3 linked regions of the Lepisosteus oculatus genome follow. The protein of the gene in region 1 purifies or fractionates together with the protein of each later gene. This does not show direct contact. Links are inferred from orthologs where the notes say so. Each region holds a gene or a part of one and is shown in the gene's direction. Other genes may lie near its edges.

Region 1 (7,130 bases):
ATGATTTCCTTGAACGTTTTTTCTGCTGGTTTGTTAGGGGTTAACAAACTACGGAGCAACCTGTATGTCTTTGCTCCCATCACACTCCACAAGACAGACACTCTCTTATTGTCTGCTACATCATTTGCTTCGCAGTACATTTCCACTCTTTCAATGTACGTTGCCCAGTCCTCAGTGCTAGTATCAAATGCGGTAATAGTTCCAATCATCGGCATTTTTTTTCATTTCAAAGCCCGTTTTCCTCACACATTAATTAGCTCACAACAACCACTATAAATTCACAATATGTACTGTATTTGAATGAACTCGCACGCTGCCTTTTTGCTAATGGTTAGCGTGTTTCATCAGTGTTTCTTCAGTGAATATTAAGGATTTAATATTTTTTGGGATGTGGGGGTGTATAGACTGTGTAGGTTCGTGAAGGAGCTCTGTCTCCATCTAACAACACACATCTAAACCTCACACCCCTGGGCCCTGGGGCTGCACAGAGCACATAGAGGAAGCTATACTGGACACAAAGTAAAGAGCCTGCAGGTTCCCTTGGGAAATTTAATACAACATCATCCCCTGTATCAGCCATAGTTAGTGTGCACTAAAATGTGTTAATTACCCCATCAGAGTGTAGTTTTGCCAGGGGGAGTTTTGTGTTTCACACTGACCAGAACTGTCTGCCCCCCCCCCCCAGAGCTTCTTCGAGAGCCACCACGCCCCCGCAGCCGAGCGGACGGTGCAGCAGTGCTGCGAGAACATCCTCCTGAACACCGCCTGGCTGAAGCGTGACGCCGAGGACATCCACCAGTATATCCTGCAGCGCCGAGCCCCACCCAGCGCCGCCGTCTGACGCCCTGCGGCCCGCGCCGTCCCGCAACCGGGCCAGGGGCCGAGGGAGGAGTCAGCCACGCTCTCCTGACTCCACTTCTCCACATCAAGTAGACAAGACTGGTTGGAAAATGAATGTAGTTAACCCCATTCTGCCCACGCCAGATTGTTTTCCCCAGACGGAACCGTGCTTGCAAGTAACTAAGCAACATAACTTAAAACACACAACATAACATTGTTGGTGTGAAATGATTCTGGCCAATTTTGTTTCATATTGACATAAGTGGAAATGTTGCATTGTTGAGCGTACTGTGAAATGATGAATTTGCTTTTCTGGAAACAAAGCGTCAAGCGACCACGAGGCAGCTCTGGCACCTCACTGGGGGTCAGGCGGTCAAGTGGAGCTGGGCAGGATGGGCTTAACTTCTCCTCGCGCGGAGAGCAGCCGTTAGCACACAGCAGCGCTGAAGGGTGATGCTGAGAATAGCTCAGTGGGAATGGCTGAAACTAGCATGGAACTTGATATGTATCTATCCAGTGTTTATTCACGCAAGACTTCTCACTCAAGAATGGTGATGTACATGATTTTCTTCCCTCCTCCGTTTCGTAGCCCTTTTCCAGAAGGACTCTTTTCTTTTCCATGGTCCCACACCTCCTTGACCCTGAGCTGCGTCCTCTGTAGAGCAGCACAGAGCCTCTGCCTGGAAACACATCTGTGTATCAGCCACATTAAATAAAATTAGATACAGATATTTTAGTAGATTTAGCAATTGTTTTAAAGTTGTGAAACTCATGAAAAGTTCTTCAAAGCGATTTGGGCCTTTTAAATGACATTTACAGATAATGCTGCATATTAAATTAGTTTTAAAGAAATGAAACTTTCAGGCCCTGAGAACTTTGCCACAAAGTAACTAGGATTTCACGGCTATTGAATTAAGAAGCCTTAAATTGGTTAAACTGGTTTGCAATAATTATTACACTGTGAAGTGGTAATAGTTACTACACTGAAAATAAAGCAATGTTGTACTAACATTACAAATCTACGTGTAGACTTGTTGAAAGGATATATTTACATACAATTTGCTATTTAGTGTGGCTTTGAACCATACTGGAGAAGGTCATCAAACTAATTGTCAAATTGCTTCCCTGAAACATCTGTTGTGCTTTTGTTTAAAAAACGGTTGGTGTTCATAAAATAAAAAATCAACAAGAAGTGTCAATGTGAAATCGCTTTTTCTTTTTTACTCTCTTACAAACTTGTTAGGACCTGTCAGTCATAGGTTACTGGCAACTGAAACAAAATATTGCTATAAAGCAATGTAATAAAAGGAAAGAATGCCAACATCACTCCTTTCTTCAATGACAGTGTTGATGTGTATGTTTGCAAACCTGGAGCGGTTATCCTTCATGCCAAAGGAGATTGAGCTGAGAAGTGCATCTCCATATTACCCAGTTCCCTGGGGTGTGTCCAGTATTTGGACCGTGCTGCTGTGTTGAGCAGAGAATCGGGAACTGGCACAGCTGCTGTTCTGGCAGTGGTGCCACAAGAGCTGAAGCTGCTTCTCCACACTGGAGACTCGGGCCCACACACGGGCCGCAGAACTGCAGGCCAAGCAGTTGTTTTTCAGTTTTGAGTCGCTATTAAATACTTTTATGAGGGAAAAACACAGATTTTTATTATTCTTATATATTAAAATCTGATTGCCGTGAACTTTGAACATAAAGCAAGCAACCAAACCAGGAGAGGATTGGCCCGTTTAGCACCAGTCTAGCTGTTCGGTAACCTCTTATTCAGAAAAGATTGACTTGCATCAGCCTTAGCCTGCAGAAGGCGGACACCAAAGCACACCATTTTAGTTTTACACAGTTTTTGCAATTTGAGGTCAAGCTAATTTGTGCTCTGCAGCCAGCTGTAAATGAGCTGTCTGTTATGGCTGCAATACCACTGAACTGCAATGTCTGCTTCTCTGTAGCATTTCAGGCCTCCTCTGGTGATGGCCTTATCCAGCAATGTTATGTAACAGAACAATCTTAAACTCTCTGACAAAATTTCTTCTTAATATTTGAGACTGTTGATTTGAATATTTTATACTAAACAGGGCTCGTGTAGCTGCTGTGCGTTATACCTGGAAGCAAATCGCACTGCCTTCCGCTGGGCAAACCTCGAGCTCTGCGCAGTCCACGCGCCCTGCCCTGTCTGTAAACCCAGCGCCCTCGGGCCGCGAGCTGCGCGAGCCGCACCGCCGGGCGGGAAGTACAAACTCTTCCAGCGCCTCATCGCGCCCTGCGGGCCGTGTATCCTTGCACAGACGGAGTCAAATAGTCCCCCGCACACACACGGACAAGGCACGGGAAAGTGCCGCGGAGTTGATGGTTATCAAGGAATCTGCCTTTTCGGATCTATTAAAATGCTCCTATCTACTTCCTACATTTACTTTTCTGACTTTCGTTTTTGAATGTGGATTACGGAAGAAAAGGCGTGCTAAACGTCGACAGGGCGGATGTTGCACTGTTTGAGCAAATCTCGTTTTCTAGGTCTTAAGAAAAATACTGATATTCAGGGCTCTTTCATGAGGCTGGGGGGGGAGGTTAAGTCACCCCACCGGGAAAGTGTATTTTGCATACTGTGATAGATATCGGTGACGGCTACAGTTCTTTCTGATAAAACATAAATTCAGCATACTGCATTGCTTACTTAAGAGGTACAAAGGAAAAAAATCAACATACTAAAATGATTCACTGTGGCTCCGCTCCTCACATGCAAGACCCCCTAAGTAATTATTCCTGGAGCCGCAGAAGGAGCCAGCAGGATGATGTGAGACCACCCGTCGTGCCGGGGTCTGGGTGTGCCCGTGTCTACAGGCCAGGCCTGCGCTGCGCTCCGCCGGTCTCCTCAATCCCTGAGCCCACGTTTCGCCTGTCTGTTTCTCCCGATCACGTTACCTTGCTGCTCGTATTGCTGTTTTTTAAAGTACCTCACTCTGTACTACATCTGTTACTACACCATGTTGTAACATTAGCTGTGTTACCCCCACGCTAATAATGTGACTTGCAGTAAACTATAGATCTATAGTTTACATACAGGCTTGTGGATGTAATCCTGCAGACAGGACGTCTCTATTATAATGAATATTCGGGTGAATATTGCTGTTATTAGGGACAGCCGCCCCCGCTCCGTCCGCAGGAGCGCGCACATCTGGCAGGGGGGACAGGCCGGCTCTCGCGGCGGCGCGGGCAGGAGCGGGCCTCGGGGGCGCGCCGGGGACGGGGGCGCGCCGGAGGGGAGGAGGCTCTGCCACTGCGGCGGCGCGTGATATCCTTCCGCGGGAGCGTGAAGCAGCTCCTTCCCCCCAGACAGCAGCACTGCCGCTCGGAGAGCACTTACCGCCTCGCCGGGCGCTCGCTGGGGAAACGCGTTTCATCGTCCGCCCTCCTCCGTTTGGAAACTTTCATGTCATATCGCCTGAATACAGAAGGAGTCTGATCCGGTTTCTGTGGTGCGCTACCAGCTACTACTTGTGTGGAGCGGCTCGGGCAGAATGGAGCTCATCACCATCCTCGAAAAAACTGTCTCTCCAGGTGATTATACCCCCGGAGCCGCGGGACTTCTCTTTATGTCCTCACAACTGCTTTCAATCCGGTGCTTGTTCGGCTTGAAAGCCGTGGATCCCGGGAGAATCGGGCTCCGGAACGGAAAGTTGTTTGTGAAAGGGAGGGAGGGGTGGACTCGGCCTGCAAGCCTGCCGGACCGGCTTTCTGGGGCCGATTCCCCGCGCACGTCGCCCGGCCTCCCGGCGCGGCCCCTGGGCTCCCGCTGGCCTCCCTGGGCCAGTCCAGGGGCGCCTCTGGGCACCGGCTGGCCCGGCGAGGTCTGTCTGGGAAAGCGGCCTAATCGGAACAGGAGGTGTAATTGTAGGGCTCGAAAGGCCGGGTCGTGGATCGGTGTAACTTCTGCATCTCACCGGTGGTTTCCTGTACAATTTATTTAAATCGTGGGTCTGTGGGCAGCTCGAAGTCGAATGATGGGGCTGCAGATTAGTGGTGTCACTAACTTGGGGATCTGAGTGCCGTTTTCCGGCGTGCCCGCCTGCGCGGTGAGCCCTGGCGGCCGGTCCGTGTGGTCCCGCATGAGCTGCCGGCCGCGGCCTGGGGCGCTCCGCCGCCTGCGAGCTCCGCCTGGGAGTGATTTTCTAGGAAAATGGAGATTTCTAGCTGTACGATTCTAGGCCTCCGTGTAGATGTCTAAATTGCTGATCTATAAGGGTATTTTCATTGAGTACCCGTTAGCGGATTTAAGCGACATTTTTGTTCATTTTATTTCAGATCGGAATGAGCTGGAGGCTGCGCAGAAGTTTCTGGAGCAGGCAGCTATTGAGAACTTGGTTTGTATTGGTTTTTTCACCCCCCCAGTCTGTGCTCTGCGTAGATTTCTTGCCCCCTGTCTGGTGCCCAAGTCCTCCATTACGCAGAAAAGATCCTGAATGAAAAAGCGCCATGCCCCCGCTGCCCACTCCATTGTAATCGGCTGTGAGTTTGATTGACGCGCTGCGTGGAGAATCGCGGGCCCGGATTTCCCGTGCAGCGTGTCCAATGGCGGCTCCCGTACAGGGCGTGGGGGCTCGGTAGAGGCAGGGGCCCAGTCCGGGGCCATGTGAGCGCCGATCCGCGGGGCCTGACCGCTTACAGACGGGCTTGGTGGTCTGTGCATCTGGCTTAGAAACCGAGAGTAATTTCTGCTTTCACCTCTGGTACAGAGTTATTTACGAATGACCATCGATGTCCTGAAGTTATTCCCCAGGCTCTGCAGATGTAGGCGTGGACAGAAAAGGTTACTTTTCAGCAAAGGAGAGTGTTCGGATTGGTGGTTATATGTGCAGTGTACAGCGTAGATAGTCATTTTTTAACTTATGCATAAGTTAAAGTGCAAATTTCAATACTACTATGAACGCTTTATAATCCGGTCTTTAAAGTATCTATCATTTTTACATATGTTCAAAGATAAAGATCTGAACTACGAAGCCACTCATGTTGTTCAGAGCCACCTTCATGAGAATACCCTTTTCAGTGCAGGCTGCTATTTGCAAGCTCTGTTCCAACCATGCAGTGGTGCATGCATGTGCAACAAAAACACTGGCATTTGAAGATTACCATGAATCTGCTTAACGTCTCATTTTACTTCTACCGTTGCCTTTTATTTTAAGTAATTGAAATCTTTTTAAGACATGTAATAAGGTTTAGCTCTTTGTCATTTAGTACTAACAGTATGGAAAAGTATGGCAACTGCCCTTTTTTAAACTAATAACTAATTAGTAGGACAAACTTGTGAAAGTCAAAAACAGAGGCCTAATAGTAACTAATAGTTGGCAGAGATTGATTGTGACGTCCAAAGGCATTCCCAGAGAACACACTGGATAAGTTGAGGAGTTGACCTTCCAGCGCTCGGCCTGGTTCGTGGTTTCGGCATGCCGTGCAGGCATCTGCATTCTAGGTCTCAGCCGAGCAGTTCGGTTAGAGCCATCCGTAATGGCAGAAGAGGCATTTATTAACAGAAAATGAACGGACACATTTTTGTGGTAAAGTACTGCTCTGGTGCCTGCTGTGGCTGAGAGTGTTAACTGAGGGTCTTGCAGAAGTGAACATAATAAACGCAGAAGTGGCTGTTTGTTCTAAAAGGGAAGGGGTTACCGCTTGGAATGCTGCTCTTGTAGTGTGGATTCGGGTCAGGGGTCAGCTCCTGCTTTGGCTGCGATGGCTCATATCTGTGGCTTGTTCATCTCCCAGCCTACCTTCCTGGTGGAACTGTCGAAAGTGCTGGCGAACCCGGGGAACAGTCAGGTGGCACGGGTGGCGGCTGGCCTCCAGGTGAAGAATTCCCTAACCTCCAAAGACCCTGATGTGAAGACGCAGTATCAGCAGAGGTGGCTCGCGATAGATGCCAACGCACGGAGAGAAATAAAGAACTATGTAAGTCTGGCACAGCTGCTGCATTCAGAACTGATCAGTTACCAGCTGAAGTTTTTCGGTTCTTTATATGAGACGAAGTAGGTTCATTCACCATGCTTCATAGCAGACACAAGTGTATCAAGCCAGTATGGTGGTGTTGTTGGGGTGCTTGTTGTGTTCTTTTGAACTATTACATCATAGTGCTCTATAATACTTCTAGCTTCCATATTTATTATTTTAGACACTGGTGTTAAATGGACAGTTCTTTTATTATTAAACTGGAGTTAAAGGAATTGTGTATCACTGCAGACATAAGCAGACCTTTTTTAATAACCCAATACTGACAACTTTCCTTGTTACAGGTGCTG
Region 2 (7,889 bases), on another chromosome or scaffold:
GCCTTGGCTTTGGACACTAGAGCAACTCTAGTTTTTCACCAAGAGATGCAGAAATCCTGTAAAGAATTGTCTGTATCAGCTTTTTTTTAATGCGGTTATTTTTGCTTGTCTATTTTTTTTTGCCTTCAGTGGTATAACAAGTTTTGTGCACTTTCAACTATTAGACTGTAGAAGCTTTGGAGAGCGCTCTGCTGTTTGTGGATGAACGCCAATAAACTCATCGCCCTTTTTTAAATGTGACTGACAGCCCCTGATCAGGTTGCCGCCCTGTGCCCCTGGACCGCAGGATGATCCGGGCGGTGCTTTAAGTTGCCGTTGTGCAGGTGGTCCTCAGATCCCTCTCTCCTTTTTGCAGAGCACGCAGTACTATGACAAGAGGTGGTCCTGCGAGCTCTTCATCCTGGTGGCGGTCAGCACCTCCGTGATCCTGATGCGCCACCTGCTGCCCCCCCGCTACTGCGACCTCCTGCACAAGGCCGCCGCCCACCTGGGCTGCTGGCAGAAAGTGGACCCCTCCCTCTGCTCCAACGTCCTGCAGCACACGTGAGTCCTCTTGAACTCGAGCTTTATTGCCATGTGGACCCGGTTCGTGTACTGGTACAGTGGAATTCTTACTTACAGAAAGTCTCTCGATTGTTAATAAGTGTAAAAACACAAAGTGCGGACAATGCATCAGGACAACATACAAACAAACAGTAGACAATGTACAAGTAAACAGTTTGAGTGTAAACAATGCCTGCAGATGTGCAGTAAATAAGAAATCGTAATGAGGTTGATGGAGTAGGTGTGCTCCGAGGGGCATGGCCAAATGTGTTTGCCAATCGCACTGCTTGTGGATAGACGCTATTGAGGAATCTGGTGGTCAGTGACCGAGTGCTCTTGTATCTCTTGCCTGAGGGCAGTGGGGTGAAGAGCTCATGCCCGGGGTGGTGACTGTCCTCTGTGATGGCCAGAATTCTACCACGGCAGCGGTCCTCATAGAGCTGTTTCATCTCTGTGAGACCACGGCCGATGATCTTTTGGGCCACATTCCCCATTCTCTCCGGTTTCGGGGCCACATTCCCCATTCTCTCCGGTTTCGGGGGCCACATTCCCCATTCTCTCCAGTTTCGGGGGCCACATTCCCCATTCTCTCCAGTTTCGGGGGCCACATTCCCCATTCTCTCCAGTTTCGGGGGCCACATTCCCCATTCTCTCCGGTTTCGGGGCAACATTCCCCATTCTCTGCCCGCGGGCTCTCCGTACGGCAGCAACCTCAGGCCACTGGCATCGCGCAGGATTCCAGCCCCCCGCTTGACCCCGGATATTAGTGTCCGCCAGCCCGTCGAGCCGTCTGCAGCGCTGGGAAATAAACCCCATCGTTCCCGTTGTTCCGAAAATGGAACTGTTTCCTTCCCAGGGATGTCGGCTCATCCTTGTTGTACGACAATCAAAACTTTTGTGTGTTCTTTTTTTATATTAACAAAGCGTCCCTATAATGAATGAGCACTTCTTTTTTTTTTTTACATGAAAACAAAAATTCAGGGCATAAAAGGTTAAAACTGATTCTTGCAATATACAACCTGAAATGTCCAAAAGCACCGTCTGTCAATAGGAGCATATGGCAAGTGTTATTTTAATTATAAACAGGTATTAGCTGCTGTTGCCGGGGCCGAGCTGTTGTAATGACCAGTGTTTTCCTCACAGGTGGACAGAAGAGTACATGTGGCCACACGGAGTCCTGGTCAAACACAACAAGAATGTCTACAAAGCAATGGGTCACTATAATGTAGCAGTTCCTTCGGATGTATCACATTATCGATTTTATGTAAGTAATAGTAATTACTTTACATAGCTCTCTCTCTTGGGTGACACACAGCAGCTCCACTACTCGGCAGATTAAGTTCAGTGAAGGGGGAACTTTAGCCAGGACAACAGGGTTAGCACCTCTGCTCTTACAAACAGCCCTGGAGCCCCAGTTTAATATCTCACCTGCAGGATAGTACCTCCTACAGCACAATGTGTGGAGCAGCATGTACCCTATACAACTCTTCCACCCCATCAAACTCCCTACAATAGCATTGCAATTCTACTGAAAGGGCTACCTTTTCATAAATGAGTAAATAATGAGTGGTGGGTTATAAGAATATTTTATATGCGTGGGAATATACTGTATATGAATATATATCGTGAAGAATATGTATGAATATACATCTGGGAGAATGTGTGACAATATATGGGAGTCGGTGAGAATATTTATAAATATACATCAGGGGGAATGTGTGACTACATACATGAATATTTATGAATATATGTCAGTGAGAATGTGTGAGAAAACACATTAATATAGATCAGGAAGAATATAACTGTATATGATTATACAGTATGTCAGTGAGACTGTGTTAGGATATTTATGAATGAGTGCCAGTGAGATTGAGAGTGAACATGTATTTGAATGTATGTCGGTGAGGTAAGCACACCTGAGATTATAGCAAACATGATGTGCACTTACCCAGTCTGCACCTGTCGGGTCTTTCTTTCTCTTCCGCAGTTTTTCTTCAACAAGCCCTTGCGGATATTGAACATCCTTATCATCCTGGAGGGGGCAATGATATTCTACCAGCTCTACTCCTTGATCTGTTCAGAGAAGTGGCACCAGACGATATCACTGGCTTTAATCCTCTTCAGTAATTATTATGCCTTCTTCAAATTACTCCGGGACAGGATAGTACTAGGGAAGGCTTACTCGTATTCCTCAAGCAGCACTTCTGACCAGAAAATAAGTTAAATGTTGCCATGGAACAACTACAGAATATGCCAGAGAGCTTTGTATTTTTTCTACAAGTGCTTTTTTTTCTTCGTGTCGTTGTTGTTTGTTTTTGGTTCTTTTCTGCCATAATAAAAAAACATATTTTTGTATTCCCTTAAAAGAGTCTTCCTTTCTTTCTTTGGTTGTATTTGAGGTGTTACTGAACGCTTGTGTGCTGGGGTTGTGTGTGTGTAGACAGTACAATGGTAGAAATGTGTGGGCATCCTCAGAGTATGTGGCACTGGCTGGGACAGATGTCTCCGAAGATTTTTTGCCAACAATAAAAAAGATCTGAAAGAAAATAAAATGACACACTGCATCAGTCTGATAGTGTTTTTTCCCCTGATACTCTTTTGCAAATGTCAACACATCAACACATTGTGGCTCCAGATGTCTTGGACTGCTGGCTTTGTCTCATCACTGCTTCTCTCAGTTAAAAAGTGTTTGAACGGCAAATGAAGATGTTTTTCTTCTCTTGGAATGTTTGTTCTGTTTCTTCTTCAAAGATGGCACTTGGGTGCAGAGTCCAAATGTAAGCACAGAAAAACACAACTGTCTCCAATTTATGAGGCAAGATAGTGTTTTGGATATACCTGGAACTGCTGATAAAATCATTGGTAGTCTAGGTTCAGCCGATTTGCCTGAAAATCCTTACCACCGGTGAACAGAATGAATCGCTATTCATTAAACCCCTGGAAAGATATAGCTGAATAATTTGTAACTGAAGAATAGAAATCCTCCAAGTCAAATGCACTACTCACAATTGCTTGCAATGAAGGATGCCAATAAAACAATTTGGGCTGCGACTGTGGTTCAGGGTACAAATGTCGCAGCCAAAATAAATTCAAGATCATCTTTATTTCCGTCCCTATCCTGGACACCTGATTGCACAGTAAAGAGCAAAGGCACTGTGGGCTTGACGTTCAGATGGAGGACAGTTTCTGACTGTTTTGAAGATAATCTATCTTGCAGATAACCAGCTCTTTTGTTGTTCAGAGTGCGTTGTGATGGACAGTTCATCAGTGTGCTCTGTGTGAGTGATTATTGAGTTGACTCTGCTGAGTAAGCCGTTCACCAATCTACCCCTCACGGACTTTGTTACAGTTTAATTTGATGCAGCTGGATTGCTGAAATGTAGGGGCCTAAGCTTTAAATGCATCGAAAATGAATCAGTTCTCTGGATTTTCTGTTGATAATAATCAAGGTACGAGTTCCTGTGAAATTAACACAACATTACAAATTTTGTGTTCTAGACATGGTTAATGTCTTTGTTTCTGGGATGGTGGCATTGCGATTATTCCTGCTGCCTCGCAGCTCTCAAGTCCTGGGTTCGATTCTGGACAGTGGCACGTTCTGTGTGCAGCTGGCATGTTTGGAGTGTTTTCTTTAGGTGCTCGGATAGGTGTTGGCTGGTTTTATAATTTCTTTAGTAATGTCAGACAGACAATTGAATCCTTGGAGAATGTTGCTGAAAAAACGTTTAGGAAGACATGACAAGGAAGGATTGCACACAACTTATCCTGACCATAATATCCCACTCAAGATCTGACAGCTCTTTCAAGATAGGCACTGCCAGAACACGCATAAATTGCAATTGCTGTTTGGCTACAGACAAATTAACACTACAAGCTGAACCTTAGCTGTCTTGTGTATTATCTTGTGTATTCTTTTTATTTATTGTTGTTGTCATTCTATAAAGCGCTTTGAGAAGCCACCTTTAAAGGCGCTATATAAAATAAAGTTTATTATTATTACTATTATTATTACTACTTGGGAGTTAAAATAAGGACTGACTCTCAGAGAGAGTTTTTTTCATCTCGTACGTGTGAGTAATTTGTATGGCATCATTTATTATCTAACTGCGAAGCTCTGAATGAATGCTTCAACTTGGATTGTCATCGGCATGCGTGCATCAGTCAGCAGAGCTGTTCAGGCGTAGTTCCTCGCCGAGCAATCGCCGGCTCTGAACCGCCCACCTTTTTCTAAAACGCGACGACGAGCCATTTGGCTGCTCCGGGCTTCCGTCGTCTTCCGACATATTGTCTGCGGACAGCAAATTCTGGAAGGGAGGGAGAGCGGGTGTGAGATTAAAATTAACAGAAATCGGGACAGAAGAGAGACACGGGGGGGCTGTCACCGGACGTATATCTGCCGCAATGGGTGAGTTGAAAGCGTGTAGCTCCCCGCAGAGCAGGCGGAGAGAGGGCGTCGGTAGACGGGCCGATTCCCCGGGTCACAGTTTCTCTCAGCCGTGCGGGCTGGTGGCGGGGGGGAGATCACGCTTGTCAAACCCCGGCCCTGTCTCTGCTGGAAAACGGGGCAGGGGTGGGGTGGGATCCGTTTCGACTCAAGCGGCAGGTTTTGTCTGGGGACGGGTCCGTGGCGTGGCGCGGCGCGGCTCGGCGCGGCTCCCGGGTGTGGGCCCTGTGTGGACGGGCCTGAGCTCAGGAGAGGCCGTGCGGCTGTTTCCAAGGGAGGGGAGCGGAAAAAAAAACACCTTTTACAGCAGCCATAGGCGGAAAAATTGCAGAAACGCTCCCTAATATTACCCACTCTCACAGTGTCACTCCATCTGTCTGCATGGTACGTAACATAAATAATAATAAAAAAAACCCTACAAAACGTGATCTTGATTTGGATGTTTATAGCAGTGGCTCATTATGCACTGTCTTAGTACTAGACGTGTTGTGGCTTTTTAGTAATCCGATGATTTCCATTATCAGAAGTTTTTTCTTGTTTCTTTTTTGGCCTGTAGGATGTACAACACAGTATTTGTTTTTCTTCATATATCCTCTACGTCGTATGAGAAACTGCGGGGAGGGGATCGAAAACGGCGTTTCAAGAATTACAATATTTCCACATACATTAAATTTGTGTGAACCGCTGGTGTGGCGGCTTCCGACATTTTAACTGGCAGGCCTACCGCCGTTTCTCTCTAGTTTGTCTTTTGAAACCTCTGTATTAAAGAAAGAGGGAATCATCTCCCGATTTGATTTAGATTTTTTTTTTGCAGTATCGCTAAAGTAGAATGGAGTTTGATTTAAAGGATCTAATTGTGCCCGGTTTTTCAGATATAATTCAATTTGCCTTTGTCTGACTTAAACGGGTCGGTTTCTATTCACACGTTTTTAGGTCTGTTTTGTTCATGCAGGATCTGATTCATATTTGCACAAGGCTCTTGAGTCAGGCAGTGACTCATGTGCTTAAGCTCTCTCGAGTATATTCTTCACCCTAGCTGGGAAACGCTTCATTTCTGAAAGTCGGTGGCCCCCGATATTCATCGTGAACTGTTCCTCTGCGGCATCGTATTTGATAACTGCAGACAGAGTCGTAAGGGACCAGTAAATGCGGAGGTGTCCTGGGTTTGATCGTCTCTAAGCCAGGGGTTTCGATTCTGGCCCTGCAGAACCACAGACCCGTTAGTGTTTCTGCCACCTGAGCACTCAAGTAATCGCTCCTTTAATATAGCTAATGATAGGTCAAGTAAAACCTCTTTCCCTGGAGTTCCTCAAGATTTATGAGGCTGCCTTTTAACTATTAAGTTGTCAGTAAAATCTACAGCCTTCAATAATAATAGTCATTCCTTACAATTACATAGTGCCTTTCTAGACTCGCTGACTCAAAGTGCTTTACAGGTAATGGGGACTCCCCTCCACAACCACCAGTGTGCAGCACCACCTCTGAGTACCAGGATAAAAAAAACCTGCAGAGGTTCCAATCAGGCAACTTGTTGTCCAGTTAAGGATTCATAGGTCAGGGGCTCCGCTGCAGTGTGGATCTCTAGGACCAGGATGGGGCAGTCCAAAAAGACTGAATTGATCCGTTATTCCTCATTTCTGGATGCCCAGGATGGCACTTTCCCTGGACGTGAAGATCACAGGACCAGGGGTGTCCAGGTGTGGTTCTGGAGGAGCGACTGCAGGGTTTCAGTCCAGCTCAGCTCCTTGTGACCTCACTCAGACTGCTATTGGCTTGCCTGGACCCATCTGACTGCTTCTCACTGCTCTTCAGGCCCTGCTGGCATTAAAGACCGACTAGCAGGCCTTGGCACTTGCTGGACAGCTCTGACCCAGAGTGAATAGTCTGGGGCTGCTGAAGGTATCACAGTGTATCGGTCACAAGCATATATATGTGATGCATTGTTTTCTCAGCAGCTTAAATGTAAATTAAGGGTCATACATTTTACAGCGCATAGAACATTTTGTATTTTTGATCACTTACACATGTATTGACTGAATTTAGGTCTTTTGTGTAAAAAAACAATTACCCTCTTCTTGGTATGGCTTTTCAGACTTCCTTGGATTGTTCATTCCTAGCCGATTACAGTGGTTCTGATCTAGCATTGTGTGTTTAAAAAATGAACTGGACGTCTGTACGTTTGTCCTGAGGTTTGGAGAACACGGTGGGGTGTTGAATTGCGAAGTGCCAGAGGGAGATGCAGTTCCTGCTAGCGGTTTCGGAAGAGGTCGCAGTCACCCCTGAACCTTTTAGGAAGGGAATGGAGGTTCTCGGAGAGTTTGCTCGTTTGGAAGGAAGTTGTCCGGTTTGATCTCGTACCTGAGAAGGAAGCCCAGGCAGGTGCCGTCTGCGCTGAGATATCCGTGTTTGCAGTCTGGCCCTGCCTCCCAGCTCCCTGAGCGTGTCCCAGACCAGGAGCACAGGTTCCATGGAAAAACAGACGGAGCTGCTAACTGCTCTGCTGCTGGTAACTCTGAAGCGATCGTTTTCAAGTGCTTCTATATCTTCGATACTTTTTGTGTCATGCAGCTCAGTTGCATAGTTTGAAGTGAGTCGACGTTTTGCTTTAGATCTCTTAGTTGCACCTTACATTTTATATATTTTATCTTAATCTGAGTTTGAGTTTTTCGGTCCCAAGCAGCTTGCAGATAGTAGGTGTCTCCCTGTTCTTTTCAAGGCACTTTTCCACCGGAGCTGAAAACAGGTGCCTGGAACAAGCCCTGTTGTGGGAAAACAATACCCTGGCTTCTTTCATGAAACGGCCACATGAGCGAGATCCCTGGACCAGTTAGCTGCTAACTACCAATTGGCCTGCTGGACTGAATGACCCCTTCTTGTCTGTAATCTTTCTTGTGTTCTTTCA
Region 3 (6,917 bases), on another chromosome or scaffold:
ATGCTGGTTTTAGATTATGGCTCTCTGCAGTGTACTACAGCCTTTTGTCCAAGGGTTGCTCTTCAACTAAGGATTTTCTGTTGGGGAATTTTGAGCAGCACTCCATGAACACAATCTAAACTCTTACATGTCTGCATCTTCCCCGTAGGGTCCTTTCCATTACCGCTTGCCATTATTCCAGCAATCTCCCACCTAGTGTGTAGAATACAAAGCCGACGTGTTAGTCTCTTTTCTTCTAGACTAGGGTTTTCTTGACCACGAATGCTTTTGACTGACAAGAGCTATTAGGAAGGGAAGAAGGAATGTACATGTGCACTCTGGGCTCCACATGTGACTTCTGGAGCCTGGCGTTCACAGCTCTGTGACACTGTAATCCCATGCTCTATTTTAATTAGCTCTGTGCCACAACGCCGATTAAATGAAAAGAAGAAATTAGATTAGATAGTTTTATATTCAACAGATTGACTAAGGAGATTATTTTCATTATTTAATTTTAAACAGTCTGCTTGTTTATAACATGATATAATAAGTTAGTTATTTAACCGATGCTTTATTCCCAAACCGCCTTACATGTGTACCCATTTACTTACATGTCTGGGCATTTTGCTGGAGCAGTCTGAGTGCAGTATCTTTCTGAGAGGTGTAACAGGAGTTCCCCACCCAGGAATTAAACCCAAGCCTCCCAATTATGAGTCTAGACACCTAACTGCCATTTCACACTGCTACCAATACTATAATATAAGCTGAATCCTTGATAACACTAGAAATAAACTAGAAAGAACTACTATATTATACAGAAATAACCCTTTTTACCATACATTATGTAAATGAGACTCACTGGAAGGAGACTTTACAGTATACAGTATGTGTGCCATATTTTAATACCTATTTACACTGCCTGCACCCTGTAATGTTCTAAACACTAGTCACTAGTTAGAACACTTTGGCTAGTTAAAATACTTGTTTGCAGTAAACTGACAGATCAGAGAATTATTGTTATATTTTAAACATTCTGAATACCGTATAAAAATAAATAAGGCAGTTACAGGCAAAATTCAAAGGATATTGCTTTTCAACTCAAGGGAATTATACTGTACAATCAAGATCTGTGAATAATGGAAATTAAAAGCGGGAGGTTTAGGACTGGAAACAGGAGGCATTTTTTTTACCAAAATAGTGGTGGGTGTCTGTAACAAGAAAGACAGGAAAATGGGAACTGATCATGTCCCTTTCCTCCTTGGTGAAACTTTCCAAAATAATCAGACCAGGCTAAAGTTGTCTTTAGTTGATGACAGAGTATTAAAAGTCATAATTCAGGAATTGTGTTGCCCACTTGTCTAACTATTCCTTGTTACATATAGACAATATTTTCATCCATTAGGTTGATTTTATATTATAATCAACAGTTAAAGGCTTTGCAAGAAGGTTCTCTGGAATAAATTATCTACAAGCAGTCAAATGTGCAAGGTGGACTGAACAGCCTTCTCACCTTTGTTAACTTTCTCATGGATTTATACTGTCAAGATATTGACCGTTTTTGTGTTGTACTTTTCAATATTCTGTAGAACATGTACTCAGACACATCAGAGAGCCACAATATTAATACTTCAAAAGTAAGGTTAACAGATAACCAAACAGTAAAAGGAACATTTGGATCTAACTTTAAGTCTAAGTAAGATATTTTAAGTTAACAACAGAACAACAGTCAGAATAATTATCAACAGGGCTCCAAATGCACATAAGGAAAGCTGTTAAAAAGTTAGGAATATTCAATGCATTACAGCTCCTTAACCTTGTTTCAGGGTAACAGACTTTCTGATTGGCTTTCTGTTGTTTATGGATTGAGTTTTTTTCTGTTACCAAACTGCATAAACATGATGTCTAATAAATGAAATGGCATTTTAAAAAATGAATCAGAATTTAATTAGACATTTTCGAACGTTTTTGCAATTACAATAAGAAGTCAACAGTAGGCTTCTCAATGCAAAACCTGTTGAGTCTGTCCAACCCAGGGTTTTGGAAATGAAACCAACTGTAAAACAATTGCTACAAGCTTATCAGTGGGACTGACCTTTCCAAGTACAAACACTGTTTGTTTTCTTTTATTGTCAGTTAATCAGAAAGCCGTTTGCAGTATTGTTGTTTTGTTATGTTTTTGGTTAAAAAACAATAGTGCTAAAACCTACACATTCAATCTGAATTATTATTAAGATGCCATACAGGAATAAATGTGGATCTATTTTGATCCTTTTTTAACTATATCAGATTTAAATACAGGGATATGAATGTTTTAATAATGTTAATCTGAGGTTCTCATTGCTTGGTTTCCAAAGACCAAAGACCCATTGCCCTATTTGTAAGAGAAAGGTTGTTAAACCCTCAAAATCTCACCCACCAAGTTAAGTTCCCTCTTAATTTTATTGCAGTTATAGCAATTTTGCACTTCTTTACCTGATCTGCAGTGTAGTGGGGCTCCTAGGGGGGTGAATACAGTGGGCATATTTATTTTATGTATTAATGTACAGTAATATATACATAATAATAATAATAATAATAATAATAATAATAATAATAATAATACAGTACATACAGTCTCTCAAGTAATTTCAAAATCTTTGGGTGGAAAAGTGTTGTACAAAAATAATTCTGTACATTGTATTTGTTCTGTTTCTTACCTCAATGGGTGATGATTCAAACCAAGTTTCAATACATCACTCTTCTCGTTGCACAGTAACTTTGTTACGGTCACTTGTGAAATTTTGTCCCATGAATATCTATCACCATAGATAAAGGCATTACAAATCTAATTATCTAAACAAGTCTAATTATCGGGAGAATTTCAAAGAATATATTGCAGCGCTCTCGGGTTCACGGGGGTATGTGCCCACCTCAGGTCGGCCCCCCACCGCTAGGGACTCGAACCCGGGCCTCCGGTCACTCAACAGGGACCCCGCCCGTTGAGCTAAAGGGAAATCTCCCTGAGCCGCCCTCCCTATTCACAGGGAAGGGCGGTGACGTCACCGCGCCGGTAAGCCGGCCCGCTCAACCTGCAGTGGCGACCGTCTGCGGAAAACAACAACAGCATGTTGTTTTCCGTAGCAGTAATGGATCATAATCACATTTATGAGTAACCGTCGCGTACTTCCCAACAGCCTGTAATGAAAAGCTCCGTGAAGTTGCCCCCGCCTACACACAGCACAAACGACGAAACCCACCTCAATCGTTAGTGCAGCGTTTGTGCCGGTTTGTGCCGTTGAAAGTAACTTCCCAGCTGCTTTCGTTCCTTAGATACAACGTCTTCTTTTTCAGGGGTGACCTTGCCCAGAACCCCTACAACGTCGTAGGGAAACCGGACCGGTCTCAGTCGTTTGTGCCGGTTTCGTTCCCCAGATATAGCGCCTTGTCCTTCCGGTGATCACGCGACCTTGACCTCCAGTGACCCCGAGTTCAAGCGTCTGTGAGGGGTGCGAGAGGAACGGCTCTGCAGTTGTGTTCCTCTGTTTGCCCGGGTGGGGGGCGGCGGTGGATTTTGCATTAAATATCAGTGTCCTCTGTGCGTTGGAGTGATTTGTCACGAATATCACACACCCTAATCAGAAGAGTTGCGGGTGTAGTCTCAAAGAGAGAACACCAGCAAACAATTGCATGTTCTTACCAAGAGGCTTTAACGAGCACGTCTCAATACTTCGTAGCAGTGTGTGTTTAAAAAAAAAAACCCTGAAATGATCAGTTTCTCACCGTCTCCTTCTTCAATAAACACGCACCAAGGGACGTGTAAAGGCGGGGTCACTGGAGGTCAAGGTCGCCGTGCATGGTTACATGATCACCGGAAAAACAAGGTGCTATATCTGGGAACGAAAGCGGCACAAACACTACTTTCAACGACACAAACTGGCACAAACTTGCACAAACGAATGAAGTGGGTTTGATCGTTTGTGCTCTGTAGGGGGGCCAACTTCACGGAGCTCTGTAAGGAAACTATTAGAAAAACAGCGCCACATTGTGGACTATTTTAGTATTGTGAGTTTTCCAAGTGGTGTTTTATTTTTAACCATTTAGTTTTGTATTACTTTAATTTATGTCATATATTAGCACGTAGCAAGTATTGTCACACACACACAATATGTATTTTAGCTCATCAGTTTAAATTTTCTAACAACATTTTCCTGATACATTCCACTGTAACTTTCCTGAGGAATTCAATTTTCCAGCCAGGACAAGAGGTTGAAAAGTTTTACACGCACAGAAACAGCTAATGAAACACTTTTAATTTTTTTAATCAATTTTAGTAATGTTTAACACGACACCGTGACGGATAATACAGTAAATTGATTTTCTCAAGGGGAGGCGCCATAGTTTTGAATCTGTGACGTAAGACATGCGACGGATGTGTTGATTCTCAGTCGCACTGAGACAGAAGCCATGATGGTGTCAGGAGAATCATGAAACTATTGCGAATTTGAGTTTCAGACTAATTTGAAACTTAATACAGTTGACTGTTTTTCTGCTATTGCATTTATTAATTTACCGTTGCTTTTGCGGTGATACAAGATGAGCGACGATTTGGACGCAATTCCCGAAAGGGAAATGAAGGTAAGTGTTTGAAACAATTTGTGAAGCTTTCAGTTTACATTGGTCGATTTGCAGTACCGAGTGCACGACATCTTCGTGGTTTGCCTCTCTTAAGACTTTTACCGTGGTTGAGTGACAGCTGTGATTGTCGAAACACGATAAAGCTATTCTTAAAAAAGTATTTAGATACTCCTGTCACACTTTCGTATGTCTAGAATGTATTTTCTTATTTTGTAATGTGCTATTTGCCTTAGAGTTATACGATATTTTTAAGTTAAGCATTCAAATTATTTTCTTGATGATATGTTAGATTAGGCTTTACGTTTTTTCTATTCCATACCCATTATCTACGAGGATGCCGGCAAACATTTGAGCCTGTGTTGTTTTCACTTTCATTTCTTCGTTTCGAAAGTTCTGAATTTATCGTATACATATGTAAATCCGTCTTATTCCTGCTGGAATGGAAGGTGGTGCTTTTTAATCATTTTGCAAAAAACAGATCTTGTTCTTGTGGAATGCTGCCTCTGCGACTGAGGGATAAACTTCATGTCTGAGGTCCACAGACTGTAACGTAACTGTACAGCACTGTCAGTGTCTGTTACTTCAGTAAACAGTTTTTACAAGAGACTTTAAGGAGGACAAAGAGTACGTGCACGGCTTAAATGCTTTTTATTTGTTGTTTGCAGGATTTTCAATTTAGGCAGATGAAGAAGATCCGCATTTTTGACACCCCAGAGGAGTTGCCGAAAGAAAGGTCTAACCTGCTTGCAGTTTCCAACAAGTATGGGCTGACGTTTATAGGCTATGACACGGAGCTCAAAGTGTTCCAAACCTGTGACATCGTTGCAGCAAACCGGATTGAGGGCAATCCCAACGAAATAGGTACAGTGTGACTTCAGAGGGTGTTTACTTCTGAGCAGAGTGTGAACATGGATCATAGCTGATTGGTTTCCAGTTAGATTTAAACAATATAGTCAAGCCAGAGAAAATCCTTGCACTTGCCTGTATCAAATTCAGACTTAGGATCTGTACCCTAACATTTTGGTCCAAAATTGTATAGCTCTCTAAAGCCTGTAAAATAATTTTGAGTACTCTTGCATTGCAGTAAACAAATGCAATATTAAAAACATTTGTTTTTGCTTTACCTGTATGCATTTAAGAAGATTCCCACAGCTCTAAACCAAATCAGATTGCTGTGTTATAGGAGCCTTATGTGTATCCTTGTGCACAATCTGTAAAAGATTAGCATAACTTGTGCTTTTAGTTGTATACAATACTCGTGATAATTACATTTTGATCAATTATGTTATCAGTTTTGTGTTGCTATGGTATGTTCTTGTTTTGCAGTTCTATTGTGGCTGTGTTTCATGTTGATGCAGGAATTCATCTGGATTTCTCTGTTTTTCAGTGGAGGGTGTAAATGGTACAAGCGTTGCTCTGGAATCTCCTGTGCACCATGTGGCTCTGAGCTGTGATGAGCTCACCCTGTCGGTGTGCACGCTGTCCGCTGAGGGGGGGGGGAAATTGTCTTTCTTTGACGTCCGAACTCTGCTCAATAAGGTAGGCTTTCTGCACTGAAAGCTCCTTCTGTCATCTCGTCTCCCTGGAGCTTTAGAGGAGGTTTTCTGTAAAAGAGCTTTCAAGCATTAATGGGAAAAATAGCCTTCCAGCAGAGGATGGCGACGAGCATGAACCACTGTAGTTGCGTGTTTCTTAAAAAAGACTGCGTTTGACTGCAGCTTTATAACACAAAGCAATACATCCTCCCGGGTGGCAGTGAACAGATTCCCCACCTGTTGGCAGCGCAGCTCACTTGAATAGCAGCCCTGAGGCTGAGTGTACCTGCCGTATAGCCTGTCATTCAGTGCCAGCGCTCGTGGCAGCTATAGCTTTAACGTCAGGAAGGAAGGAGAAGGTCACCGCGTTGACGTGGCCGTGCCTCTCCCCTCAGGCCAGGCCAGAGAAGCTGCCGTTCACCAGCCTCAGGCCGGCCGTGCAGCCGGGGACCTCGGTGAAGGACCTGAAGTGGAACCCGGCCCTGCCCTCCCTCCTGGCGGCCTGCCTGTCCGACGGCAGCATGCTGGTTCTGGAGGTCCTGGACAGTGCCAAGCTGCAGGCTCAGTTGCCCCCCACTGAGGGAATCACATGTGGTGAGCGTGCTCCTCCGTGGCTAATCCGCCCCAAGATTAGTGTGCTCAGCCCATTAAGATGAACAGATCTGTTTAATGGGTTGTGATGCAGGTGCAAGGCCTTAAAGCACTGTTGTTGTATTGACATATCTAAAGTTACATGTACCGTGTGGCAGGGAGAGAGAGAGATTTCCCTTCATCTCTATTTTTGTGATT

Evidence for each region.
Region 2: the proteins of kpnb1 (region 1) and kpna6 purify together in Homo sapiens (affinity purification with mass spectrometry; 4 studies listed by BioGRID and IntAct, with this or other methods). This does not show direct contact. The link is inferred for Lepisosteus oculatus from reciprocal best matches to the Homo sapiens genes KPNB1 and KPNA6.
Region 3: the proteins of kpnb1 (region 1) and nup214 purify together in Homo sapiens (affinity purification with mass spectrometry; 3 studies listed by BioGRID and IntAct, with this or other methods). This does not show direct contact. The link is inferred for Lepisosteus oculatus from reciprocal best matches to the Homo sapiens genes KPNB1 and NUP214.

Annotation. Positions count from the first base shown.
Region 1 is NC_090723.1:10,479,187-10,486,316, reverse strand, and holds the start of kpnb1 (importin subunit beta-1), read left to right. Parts: upstream 1-4,121; 5' UTR 4,122-4,358; coding exon 4,359-4,398; intron 4,399-5,142; coding exon 5,143-5,201; intron 5,202-6,600; coding exon 6,601-6,783; intron 6,784-7,124; coding exon 7,125-7,130. Other genes in the region: npepps (puromycin-sensitive aminopeptidase), read left to right, coding at 686-841.
Region 2 is NC_090706.1:3,284,806-3,292,694, forward strand, and holds the start of kpna6 (importin subunit alpha-7), read left to right. Parts: upstream 1-4,792; 5' UTR 4,793-4,944; coding exon 4,945-4,948; intron 4,949-5,000; exon of another isoform or gene 5,001-5,371; intron 5,372-7,889. Other genes in the region: tmem39b (transmembrane protein 39B), read left to right, coding at 356-543, 1,687-1,807, 2,531-2,767. UniProt on the Homo sapiens protein: Functions in nuclear protein import as an adapter protein for nuclear receptor KPNB1. Binds specifically and directly to substrates containing either a simple or bipartite NLS motif.
Region 3 is NC_090719.1:15,565,368-15,572,284, reverse strand, and holds the start of nup214 (nuclear pore complex protein Nup214), read left to right. Parts: upstream 1-3,820; 5' UTR 3,821-3,839; intron 3,840-3,985; exon of another isoform or gene 3,986-4,020; intron 4,021-4,127; exon of another isoform or gene 4,128-4,551; coding exon 4,552-4,593; intron 4,594-5,258; coding exon 5,259-5,454; intron 5,455-5,980; coding exon 5,981-6,132; intron 6,133-6,523; coding exon 6,524-6,722; intron 6,723-6,917. UniProt on the Homo sapiens protein: Part of the nuclear pore complex. Has a critical role in nucleocytoplasmic transport.